Linked DNA regions of Saccharomyces cerevisiae S288C. The gene in region 3 interacts genetically with the main gene of each other region. Each region holds a gene or a part of one and is shown on either strand. Other genes may lie near its edges.

Region 1 (3,931 bases), on a different chromosome or scaffold from region 3:
CTAACGTAACCGGACAAAGCGTAAGTGATGTATTCACCTGGAATGGCGCGGCCTTCTTCATCAACCTTGGCAACGTTGATTTGAACAGAAGCGTGGTCATCGGCTTTGATGATTCTGTTGGTAGCAGAACACTTTCTTGGAACATATAATTCAACCTAGTAAAAAAAGAAATTATTCAATGTTAGTACATTTGCGCTTATATTCTTGTAAAATTATTCTGCACATGAATGAAAGAAAAGTTCTAAGAGTAGTTCTGGAATATGGAAACCCACTAATTCGGAATTATGATGTCTTTTCAGCATATCTCTCTTGGGATTCCAATTTTGTCGTTAAAACGCCACATTTCTTAGAGATGTGTACTTAGACCACACATGATAAAGTATCAGGTAACACTTGTGCCAATTTAAATGGGTTATTTGCATTTTCTTGAATTTGATGTATTACTAACCAATATGATTATAAACCCATGTTGGTCCCACCCTATTTGTACCACTAATCTTGCACACTTAACTTATTATAATTTTATTTTTCTGTCGATGCTCCCTTGTCTGTCCACGCTTACTCAGTCCTCTTCTTTCTTCCTTTGCGCGCCATCATCTGCTATAATTTACGTACTAATTGACCCTTATCGTTTTCCATTTTGGCTTATTGATATTCTTTTATTTTTTTATCAGATTTTTAACTGAAATTCCCCTTTAAAGTCAAATTCGTTAACAATGTTTATAAAACTTTCAATCCTATAATCCTCAATTACTAGTTCTTACATTATACAGAGCCGAGATTCGCTTCAAACGGACCCACTAGCCAGCTGGTATGGTTCCCACCACCGATGAAGAGAACCAGAATAAAGGCAGTGGTCTCACTAGCGAACTCGCTCGAAGCGTGCCCACCAGCTCCCGGCGAGAGACGCGGCGAAACATAAAGCATTTATTTCATTCCTTAAAAGTTATGGAGATGTATGGATGTATAAAGTGTACGGGTGTAAACACATTGTCGTCAAAAGGTAATCTCCCCAGAAGTTTTCACTCCTATATAGAAACACGGATACAACCTCGATAGTGCTTTCTTTGTCCCATTTTATTATGCTACTTGTTGCATTATTTTTGGTTTTTCAAGCCTACGTTTTGGACTCTCAGTCCCTGATGCGGATAAGTATTTTACATAATTTACGTTACTATGGCAACAGTACATATGTAGAAAAGTGAAAGAGAAAAAAAAAGAAGAGAGAACTTAAGTAGATGTATGTTCAACCAGCTATTGTTGGAACCAAATATGTGCAAAATATCGCCAGATATTCATTTCACGAATAACAAGGCAAAAATGTTGCAAAAAATGTTTCTTAGTACCAAATTGAACTACTGCCTTTATCATGTGACTGAACTACGCTTGGCTGTTTTGTTTTTCCCTCACCTTGCGCTAAAGTTGTCGTCACATTATAAGGGCAGTAAGAAAAAGCAGAGTTTAAGAAAGTTTGTTTACATACAACCATCACGTAGAGGAAATTCTTCAAACCTACCAGACCAGCGGACACAAGCCATTTGTATAGATAAAAAATGGTAGATGGACTGAATACCTCGAACATTAGGAAAAGAGCCAGGACTCTCTCTAACCCCAATGACTTTCAAGAGCCTAATTACTTGCTGGATCCCGGTAATCATCCCTCAGATCATTTTCGAACTCGAATGTCCAAATTTCGGTTTAATATTAGAGAGAAGCTGTTAGTGTTTACCAACAATCAATCATTCACATTAAGCCGCTGGCAAAAGAAGTACCGTTCTGCGTTTAATGATCTCTACTTTACTTATACTTCCTTAATGGGATCGCATACCTTCTATGTTCTGTGTTTACCTATGCCCGTGTGGTTTGGATATTTTGAAACAACAAAAGATATGGTTTATATCTTGGGATATTCTATCTACTTGAGTGGTTTTTTTAAAGATTACTGGTGCTTGCCCAGGCCTAGAGCACCTCCATTACATCGAATTACGTTAAGTGAATATACAACGAAGGAATATGGTGCTCCAAGCTCCCATACAGCAAATGCAACAGGAGTGAGTCTCTTGTTTCTCTACAACATCTGGAGGATGCAAGAATCTTCTGTCATGGTCCAACTATTGTTGTCATGTGTGGTTTTATTTTATTATATGACTTTGGTTTTCGGTAGAATATACTGTGGGATGCATGGCATATTAGATTTAGTAAGCGGTGGGCTCATTGGAATAGTGTGTTTCATTGTTAGGATGTATTTCAAGTACAGGTTTCCGGGTTTACGCATTGAGGAGCATTGGTGGTTTCCTTTGTTTAGTGTGGGATGGGGTCTTCTTCTTTTGTTTAAACATGTTAAGCCCGTAGACGAATGTCCTTGCTTCCAAGATAGTGTTGCGTTCATGGGCGTTGTGTCAGGTATTGAATGCTGTGATTGGTTGGGCAAAGTGTTTGGAGTCACCCTGGTGTACAATTTGGAACCTAACTGTGGCTGGCGGTTAACCTTAGCCAGGCTGCTGGTGGGCCTACCGTGCGTTGTTATCTGGAAGTACGTGATCAGCAAACCGATGATCTACACGTTATTGATCAAAGTTTTCCATCTGAAGGATGACAGAAACGTTGCGGCAAGAAAAAGACTGGAGGCCACGCACAAAGAAGGTGCAAGCAAGTACGAATGTCCATTATATATTGGAGAGCCCAAGATTGACATTCTAGGTAGATTTATTATCTATGCTGGCGTTCCATTCACCGTTGTAATGTGCAGCCCCGTCCTATTTTCCCTCTTAAATATAGCATAAAACAAAAGGAACAAAAAAAAAAAAATAGACAAAATGTAGTGTAAATGTATCCGTTTCTAAATTAAGTACTTATAAAAAAATATGTAACTGAAAAAGTCATGTTGTATAAAAATTTGAGGCACCGTACCAGGACCCCAAAAGAAGAATAGGTTAAAGTCATCATCATTAATAAACCAGGAAAGAAAAGAGCATAATTAAGATACGCCTACAACTTTGGCGCGTGAGCCAAGTGTCTTCTGGTAGCTAGTGAGGCACTCAAGGGACCATATGTCTTGGCATTTTCTCTATATTCCTTAAAAGAGTTGAACGAGTTGCCCGGAGATCTCTTGAAAATAGTGCTGGCCATGGCGCTAGCGGCTATCCTTGAGACACCCGCGGAGGCGGCTGAAGAAGAGACGGCGGCGGCTAATCTGGTACTTTGGGCGATCATTTAATACGTTTATTTACTGTCTTATGAATGTAATATTTAAACTTGTGCGTAATCATTAAAACAAAGGTGAAAAATCACATTAAACATCTCCCTACATTACTTTCGGTTTATTCTTTTATATGTGTGAAACTTTCTCTCTGCACCAGGAAGTGGTCATGCTTGATGCTCGGCTCCCACCGGAAAAACTAACTTGCGGGCGGGAAATTGATCCCTGAAGTCATGCCCCTCACCTTCATTCGTGGATCTTATCTCCAGAGCAACCAAATGTGGAAATGGCATGACACCCCCCCACACACGTTCCGCCCACTTTTTTTCAAATGTGTGACACACCCATACCCCATAATGTTGCACGTGACAGGTTTGTATCACGTGCTTCTTAGGGTTTTGTTTTAGGTCTGAGACATTTTAGGGTTTTTTTTCATCAAGTCTAGATCGTTTGTAACGAACGATTGCTCCTTTTTTCTTTTTTTTTTGCTTTTTTTTTATACTCACCGTTTACTGTCATTATGTCTCTCGAGAAACTGGGCGTGTGTGCTAACCAAGACTGGATCACCTTTACATAGCACTTATTGCATTTCTTGGTGTTTCGTACCCTACAATTGACAAAAGTAATTTTGTCGTTCATTTCTTCATCGATTCTTTCCTCTTTCAACAACTTCCTTATTTTATCTTGGGATCGTAACTTCACTTAATTAATCACGATTCCCATATTCGTTAA
Region 2 (4,776 bases), on a different chromosome or scaffold from region 3:
TACTATATATTCAGGTAAAATACAAAAATTATAACATTTTTAAAACTTTTTTTTTTTGAAAGTCCTTCTCGCTTTAGGATTTTTTCCCATTAAGATTATGATGGTTTCATGTATGTGTCAGTTAAAAAAAATATGGCTAAGTAGCAATGAAACGAACCAAGAAAATGAAAACAATATATAGTGCTGTTGAAATAACAAAGACATTGGTATATATTTGTAAAATGTCTGTTAAATGTTTTTTATCTCAGGTTCTTGCTTGTCTTTGGTAGAAGAAATTATAGTAAACAAACAAACAAACAAACAAAAAAAAAAAAAAAAAAATGGTCGCAATCTCAATGATTTGGTTTTTTACCAAGCGTATGCCCAGAATATTTGCATTAGCTTTTAATTTAATTTCAATATTTCTTTTGATTTTTCTTCTCATCGGCTGTTACAACCCGTCAAATCAGTCAACATTTCTAGTGAAGTATAAATTTGATGACAACTCACCTTTTTATACGATCATAGAGAAATCATATGAAAAATCAAATACAACTCTGGGCTTGGAGGAAGTCATTATAAGATCCGGTTACATGGGTGTTTGTATTGATAACATTCCCTCCCAATATAGCTCTTACAATAATATGACTACATTCTCCAATTCAATTTGCTATGCAAGAAAGAATTTAAGCTCGGTTCCCTTATACAGAGACTTGGAAATTCAACTCTCAAATATTGCATCTTCCAGCTCCAAAACCCAATCAAGCGTTGTCTTGAACATTTTGAAGTTAGCCCAATTAACTTCGGTTAATGTTATACATCCATATGTCTTGATGGCAACTGTAATCCTAACAATCCTAATGTTTCTATTTATTCTGTATGTAACTGTCCCTAAGTTACCATTCAAACTAGCGGTTAATAAATTTCTACTGTTGCTAAGTTCAACTATAGTTTTGACATGGGGTATTGGTGCGATGTGGACTCATGTAGGGATAAATGCAAGTTACAGATTGGTTCCATCATCAAGTATGAATATAATCACTGTCAAGAAGGGCAAGAAGGCAGCAGTAATGGCTTGGTTTAGCTTTGCATTCCTCCTTTTAGACAGTGTGGTTTTATGGTTAATATTTTTAAGGGATAGGAAAAGCTTGAAAGATGAAATTGATAATGTTCCATGTGCCCAAAATAGGTACAATAACTACTCTTCGGATTCATCTACATTGCATTCCAAAGTTTAGTTTTATCCTCAAATAAACATATAAGTTTTGAGCGGATATTTCAGAATGTCAATTTTTAAAAGTAAAAGGAGAAAAAATTTATATAATTCACGATTAACATTATATAATGTGATGAACTACTTAAAAAATTTAACGTTCGATAATTAAGTAACAACAGAGAAAATATGAGCTTACCTAAACTCTAATCATTACCGTCTGTTTTATTTACTGTCACCTTGATGAGCGACTAAAAAGATAGAACGCGGGTTTTTCGCGCAATGTAACAAAGCTCCAGAAATTTTTTATAAATACTAATGTTATAGCAAAAAAAATAAGGACCTTAAAGTCGTAAACTAAATTGAAAAGCCCAAATCATTCAAATTCTATATCGTTGAACTTTTAATAGGCTGCGAATACCGACTATGTCTCCCATACAGGTTGTTGTCTTTGCCTTGTCAAGGATTTTCCTGCTATTATTCAGACTTATCAAGCTAATTATAACCCCTATCCAGAAATCACTGGGTTATCTATTTGGTAATTATTTTGATGAATTAGACCGTAAATATAGATACAAGGAGGATTGGTATATTATTCCTTACTTTTTGAAAAGCGTGTTTTGTTATATCATTGATGTGAGAAGACATAGGTTTCAAAACTGGTACTTATTTATTAAACAGGTCCAACAAAATGGTGACCATTTAGCGATTAGTTACACCCGTCCCATGGCCGAAAAGGGAGAATTTCAACTCGAAACCTTTACGTATATTGAAACTTATAACATAGTGTTGAGATTGTCTCATATTTTGCATTTTGATTATAACGTTCAGGCCGGTGACTACGTGGCAATCGATTGTACTAATAAACCTCTTTTCGTATTTTTATGGCTTTCTTTGTGGAACATTGGGGCTATTCCAGCTTTTTTAAACTATAATACTAAAGGCACTCCGCTGGTTCACTCCCTAAAGATTTCCAATATTACGCAGGTATTTATTGACCCTGATGCCAGTAATCCGATCAGAGAATCGGAAGAAGAAATCAAAAACGCACTTCCTGATGTTAAATTAAACTATCTTGAAGAACAAGACTTAATGCATGAACTTTTAAATTCGCAATCACCGGAATTCTTACAACAAGACAACGTTAGGACACCACTAGGCTTGACCGATTTTAAACCCTCTATGTTAATTTATACATCTGGAACCACTGGTTTGCCTAAATCCGCTATTATGTCTTGGAGAAAATCCTCCGTAGGTTGTCAAGTTTTTGGTCATGTTTTACATATGACTAATGAAAGCACTGTGTTCACAGCCATGCCATTGTTCCATTCAACTGCTGCCTTATTAGGTGCGTGCGCCATTCTATCTCACGGTGGTTGCCTTGCGTTATCGCATAAATTTTCTGCCAGTACATTTTGGAAGCAAGTTTATTTAACAGGAGCCACGCACATCCAATATGTCGGAGAAGTCTGTAGATACCTGTTACATACGCCAATTTCTAAGTATGAAAAGATGCATAAGGTGAAGGTTGCTTATGGTAACGGGCTGAGACCTGACATCTGGCAGGACTTCAGGAAGAGGTTCAACATAGAAGTTATTGGTGAATTCTATGCCGCAACTGAAGCTCCTTTTGCTACAACTACCTTCCAGAAAGGTGACTTTGGAATTGGCGCATGTAGGAACTATGGTACTATAATTCAATGGTTTTTGTCATTCCAACAAACATTGGTAAGGATGGACCCAAATGACGATTCCGTTATATATAGAAATTCCAAGGGTTTCTGCGAAGTGGCCCCTGTTGGCGAACCAGGAGAAATGTTAATGAGAATCTTTTTCCCTAAAAAACCAGAAACATCTTTTCAAGGTTATCTTGGTAATGCCAAGGAAACAAAGTCCAAAGTTGTGAGGGATGTCTTCAGACGTGGCGATGCTTGGTATAGATGTGGAGATTTATTAAAAGCGGACGAATATGGATTATGGTATTTCCTTGATAGAATGGGTGATACTTTCAGATGGAAATCTGAAAATGTTTCCACTACTGAAGTAGAAGATCAGTTGACGGCCAGTAACAAAGAACAATATGCACAAGTTCTAGTTGTTGGTATTAAAGTACCTAAATATGAAGGTAGAGCTGGTTTTGCAGTTATTAAACTAACTGACAACTCTCTTGACATCACTGCAAAGACCAAATTATTAAATGATTCCTTGAGCCGGTTAAATCTACCGTCTTATGCTATGCCCCTATTTGTTAAATTTGTTGATGAAATTAAAATGACAGATAATCATAAAATTTTGAAGAAGGTTTATAGAGAGCAAAAATTACCAAAGGGTTTGGATGGAAATGACACTATTTTTTGGCTCAAGAATTACAAGCGCTATGAAGTCTTGACCGCTGCTGATTGGGAAGCCATCGATGCACAAACAATTAAATTATGATTTGATGTTCCTGAATTAGGATAAAGTATTTTTCCTTGCACGAGAGTACGTATGTAAACGTAATATTGATAAAGAATCAAAAAAAGTTTTATATCTATCTATATATGTACCTAATAACATATGGAAAGGATTATTTAAATTCAAAAAATAAAACAATAAAGTTTATAAACTAACCAAATTATTGTTAGAGTTGGTAATATTAGCACTTCAGTTAACTCAATACGATTGATCTTGAAACTATCGGTAACTGAATGGTTTGTTTCAGGATCACTTACGAATGATCCAGTGGAATAGTACCTTTCCATTAGAGCATCCTTCTCACTCCAAATTTTATACAGCCATTCTGAAAATTCATTCTCGTCCTCTAATGGAATATCTTTAACATCAAATGCTCTGATGTGAATATCGACTAACTTCGGGTATTTTCCTTCTAAAAATATGCTCTTCAGCCCATATATAAGCTCACCATATTCCTCCTGTTTTACACCGGAGTAGCCGATCGTAATATCATAAAGACTTTCAATACTTGGCTTCAACTTTTGTAACGAGTATCTTAGGCCTGTAGAATGAGGCAGTAGCACATTCTTGAATGGCTTTTTGCCTATTTTGGCAGCATATTTAGCACTTTTTTGCCTAGTATCAGCACTGAGATTTGTACCTTCAGGGAATAGGATAAGATTGTATGGCCAATGGATTTGTTTTGGATCAATAACCTCCGGATTCCATATGCTCTCTCCTTCCTCAGTTATGCGCTCAGGTGACTTTCCAGCAAGTGAGCCGGCGCCCCTTGCATTCGAATCAAGGCCAGCAAGGCTGTTGCTTAGGGTTATTTTGTCTTGTGCCCACTTTCTACTCATAAAAATGAAATTATAGTTTCTCATACCGAAACCGAGGATAGGAATGGAAGCCAACGATTTTTTTAAAATAATGAAGACATTAGCCCCTAAGTTCGATGTGTAAGCCAACCACCATAAAAATATCCAATCCGTGTATATTTGGTGATTGCAAATGGCCACCGAATTGGACTTTAGATGAGAAAGAATCCTTTTCTTCTTCAAGTCTAAAAAAAAAGTACCTTTAGGAACACTGGAATTTTCAGTGGTAATTCTCACTGCAGATGGTGCGACAACATGCAAAATGGATGATAC
Region 3 (3,790 bases):
AAGAGTAAGGGTTCCCGATGGGTTTCAAATCAGGTCCAATGGATGAGGGTCCTAATTCAAAGAACAGCCCGGTTAGTGAAGAACAACCTGGACCCCCGTTCAACCAAAGGATGACCGGATCCTTTGCAGGATCGTTTCTACTTTCAAAAGTCCAAAAGAAGAAATGCTTGTCCTCGTCTTCCACATCCAAGTAACCCGTGTACTGTGTGACATTTGGGTCAATGCCCAGGATTTTAGGGTCCTTAATCTTGTTGACACGAAGCTGATAGTTTTCAATTGCGTCATTCTTGACCACAAAGTCCCAGTCTTTCTTCGTTTTGATTGCTTCAGGGAATTTTGGCTTAGTGGAAGTTTCAAGGCTCATAACCTGGTTTGGGTACAAATGCTCTATTTGGGCCCAAGCGTCCAATACATTGGAGTCCAACTCCTTCAAGAGATGATCCAGGTCGAGGTCCAAACCAAATTTTTCCGCAGCTTGCAGCAAAACGTCCTTATCTAGACCCAACGGTCTTTGCAATGAGATGGCCTTAGCGAGTGTAGTGGACAGGCCTAGTCCACATAGTAAACTGGTGAATGCTTTCATAGCGTATGTATACTTTAAGTTGAGTAGAAAAGAAACAATCTCTAGTGAGTATTCTTTCTCTCTCTCTCTCTTGTCTTGTTAAGACTAGGAGGGAAGACGAAAAGAATTATTTCGGAGCTTTTTTGCTGGCATTCTTATCTCGTGCTTTTATTAGTGGGCCCCTTCTTTGAGACCCCGCGGGTGATATGGCCCCTGTCTCAATGATGGATAAAGTTGTTGGAAGCAATTACCAAGACAATCACAAACGAAGGTTGCTACCGAAGTGTACTGGATGACCAACATCGCTATGATTAAATAAGACTATACATAATAGACAAGGGTGGCGCGGCTCCATTCCCAGGGAGACACAAACACGAGGTAAGTCTCAAAAAACCGAAGTTTCGCTCTAAAACTGCACGTAAAGGTCGTGGTATTGACTACAACCATTGACTGTTACATTGTGTAGAAGAAAGGTCCTCACATACTGCTCTGTCAATATGGCTTCTTGTGCAGAAGGTCAATATGTACTATTTCCATGAACCCACAAAATAAGGGAAAAAAAACACTGGAAATAACCGCCACACATACCGTATAAAAGTACATCTCTTTATACGAGTTACTTACTAGACCCTAACCAATGCCTTCAAAAAACAGGACAGACCCTAAAAACTACCATAAGAGACCTAACATATGTATCATCATATACGGAAATCGATTTCGCGTATTTTTTTTTTTTTGAGGCGCCATGATTTCTTACACGGTTTCTTTTTTTTTTCCTTCTTTCCTTCTTGCTTCTCTGCTAACAAATTTTTCACTCATTCTTTTTTATAGGGGCATATTGCTGCGGTTAACTGTAGTGAACGAAAGTAAGATTGAGAAAATATAGTACTTAAGAAAAAGAAAAGGAAAAATAAAAAAAATTCTTTTCAACATCATCGAGTAGCACAGTATAAGAGCGCTCTAACCTTCTGCCTGGCCTCCAATATACACATTTTGCTCGTGTAGGGTTATTTATCCTTTTTTCTTCCTTCCCACCCAAAAAAAAAAAGCAATGGCACACATCCCAGAGGTTTTACCCAAATCAATACCGATTCCGGCATTTATTGTTACCACCTCATCGTACCTATGGTACTACTTCAATCTGGTGTTGACTCAAATCCCGGGAGGCCAATTCATCGTTTCGTACATCAAGAAATCGCATCATGACGATCCATACAGGACCACGGTTGAGATAGGGCTTATTTTATACGGGATCATCTATTACTTGTCCAAGCCACAACAGAAAAAGAGTCTTCAAGCACAGAAGCCCAACCTATCGCCCCAGGAGATTGACGCGCTAATTGAGGACTGGGAGCCCGAGCCTCTAGTCGACCCTTCTGCCACCGATGAGCAATCGTGGAGGGTGGCCAAAACACCCGTCACCATGGAAATGCCCATTCAGAACCATATTACTATCACCAGAAACAACCTGCAGGAGAAGTATACCAATGTTTTCAATTTGGCCTCGAACAACTTTTTGCAATTGTCCGCTACGGAGCCCGTGAAAGAAGTGGTCAAGACCACTATCAAGAATTACGGTGTGGGCGCCTGTGGTCCCGCCGGGTTCTACGGTAACCAGGACGTTCATTACACGTTGGAATATGATTTAGCACAGTTCTTTGGCACCCAAGGTTCCGTTCTGTACGGGCAAGACTTTTGTGCCGCACCCTCTGTTCTGCCTGCTTTCACAAAGCGTGGTGATGTTATCGTGGCAGACGACCAGGTGTCATTACCAGTGCAAAATGCTCTGCAACTAAGCAGATCCACAGTCTACTACTTCAACCACAACGATATGAATTCGCTAGAATGTTTATTAAACGAGTTGACCGAACAGGAGAAACTTGAGAAACTGCCCGCCATTCCAAGAAAATTTATCGTCACTGAGGGTATTTTCCACAACTCGGGCGATTTAGCTCCGTTGCCTGAGTTGACTAAGCTGAAGAACAAGTACAAGTTCAGACTATTTGTTGACGAAACCTTCTCCATTGGTGTTCTTGGCGCTACGGGCCGTGGGTTGTCAGAGCACTTCAACATGGATCGCGCAACTGCCATTGACATTACCGTTGGGTCCATGGCCACCGCGTTGGGGTCCACCGGTGGTTTTGTCCTGGGTGACAGTGTTATGTGTTTGCACCAGCGTATTGGTTCCAATGCATATTGTTTTTCTGCCTGTTTGCCGGCTTACACCGTCACATCCGTCTCCAAAGTCTTGAAATTGATGGACTCCAACAACGACGCCGTCCAGACGCTGCAAAAACTATCCAAATCTTTGCATGATTCCTTTGCATCTGACGACTCCTTGCGTTCATACGTAATCGTCACGTCCTCTCCAGTGTCTGCTGTCCTACATCTGCAACTGACTCCCGCATATAGGTCTCGCAAGTTCGGATACACCTGCGAACAGCTATTCGAAACCATGTCAGCTTTGCAAAAGAAGTCCCAGACAAACAAATTCATTGAGCCATACGAAGAGGAGGAAAAATTTCTGCAGTCCATAGTAGATCATGCTCTTATTAACTACAACGTTCTCATCACAAGAAACACTATTGTTTTAAAACAGGAGACGCTACCAATTGTCCCTAGCTTGAAAATCTGCTGTAACGCCGCCATGTCCCCAGAGGAACTCAAAAATGCTTGCGAAAGTGTCAAGCAGTCCATCCTTGCCTGTTGCCAAGAATCTAATAAATAAAAATAGAAAGCCAGTATATGCACACGCACATATATATATAAATATTTATACAATAATACAAATAATCGTAACATCATCTCTGTCAAATTGACGTGGTGCACGGCGCCCAGAGAATGCGCTAAAAATTTTCGGATCCGAAATTTTCTTTCCTTTTACCATCGAGGCAAAGCAACCTGTATTATTTATTTGTTTATTTATTAATAGAAAAGAAAGGAGTACTTTCGTGGTACGCTTTCTTGAGCATTTTCGGTTTCACTAGGCAGAGAACTAACACAAGAGACACAGCAAACATCAAACAAGGTTAAAACAGCACACCAAGGCAATATGATGCATTTTAGAAAGAAATCCAGTATCAGTAACACGAGTGATCATGACGGAGCGAACCGTGCCTCAGATGTCAAGATTTCTGAAGATGACAAGGCAAGATTGAAGATGCGTACTGCTTCCGTTGCTGATCCTATTCTAGACGCTGTGCAGGAAGCCCAACCTTTTGAACAAGC

What was found.
Region 1: mutations in LCB1 (region 3) and LCB3 together harm fitness more than expected from each alone (negative genetic interaction), as found in Saccharomyces cerevisiae (5 studies listed by BioGRID, with this or other methods).
Region 2: mutations in LCB1 (region 3) and FAT1 together harm fitness more than expected from each alone (negative genetic interaction), as found in Saccharomyces cerevisiae (4 studies listed by BioGRID).

Annotation. Positions count from the first base shown.
Region 1 is NC_001142.9:156,635-160,565, forward strand, and holds LCB3 (sphinganine kinase LCB3), read left to right. Parts: upstream 1-1,553; coding exon 1,554-2,783; downstream 2,784-3,931. Other genes in the region: 40S ribosomal protein eS21 RPS21B, read right to left, coding at 1-155, 616-639; DPI8 (Dpi8p), read right to left, coding at 2,989-3,213.
Region 2 is NC_001134.8:316,648-321,423, forward strand, and holds FAT1 (long-chain fatty acid transporter FAT1), read left to right. Parts: upstream 1-1,618; coding exon 1,619-3,628; downstream 3,629-4,776. Other genes in the region: FIG1 (Fig1p), read left to right, coding at 321-1,217; CST26 (putative acyltransferase), read right to left, coding at 3,769-4,776. UniProt on the Saccharomyces cerevisiae protein: Acyl-CoA synthetase required for both the import of long chain fatty acids (LCFAs) (C14-C18) and the activation very long chain fatty acids (VLCFAs) (C20-C26) by esterification of the fatty acids into metabolically active CoA-thioesters for subsequent degradation or incorporation into phospholipids.
Region 3 is NC_001145.3:858,715-862,504, reverse strand, and holds LCB1 (serine C-palmitoyltransferase LCB1), read left to right. Parts: upstream 1-1,613; coding exon 1,614-3,290; downstream 3,291-3,790. Other genes in the region: carboxypeptidase C PRC1, read right to left, coding at 1-583; GSR1 (Gsr1p), read left to right, coding at 3,615-3,790. UniProt on the Saccharomyces cerevisiae protein: Component of serine palmitoyltransferase (SPT), which catalyzes the committed step in the synthesis of sphingolipids, the condensation of serine with palmitoyl CoA to form the long chain base 3-ketosphinganine.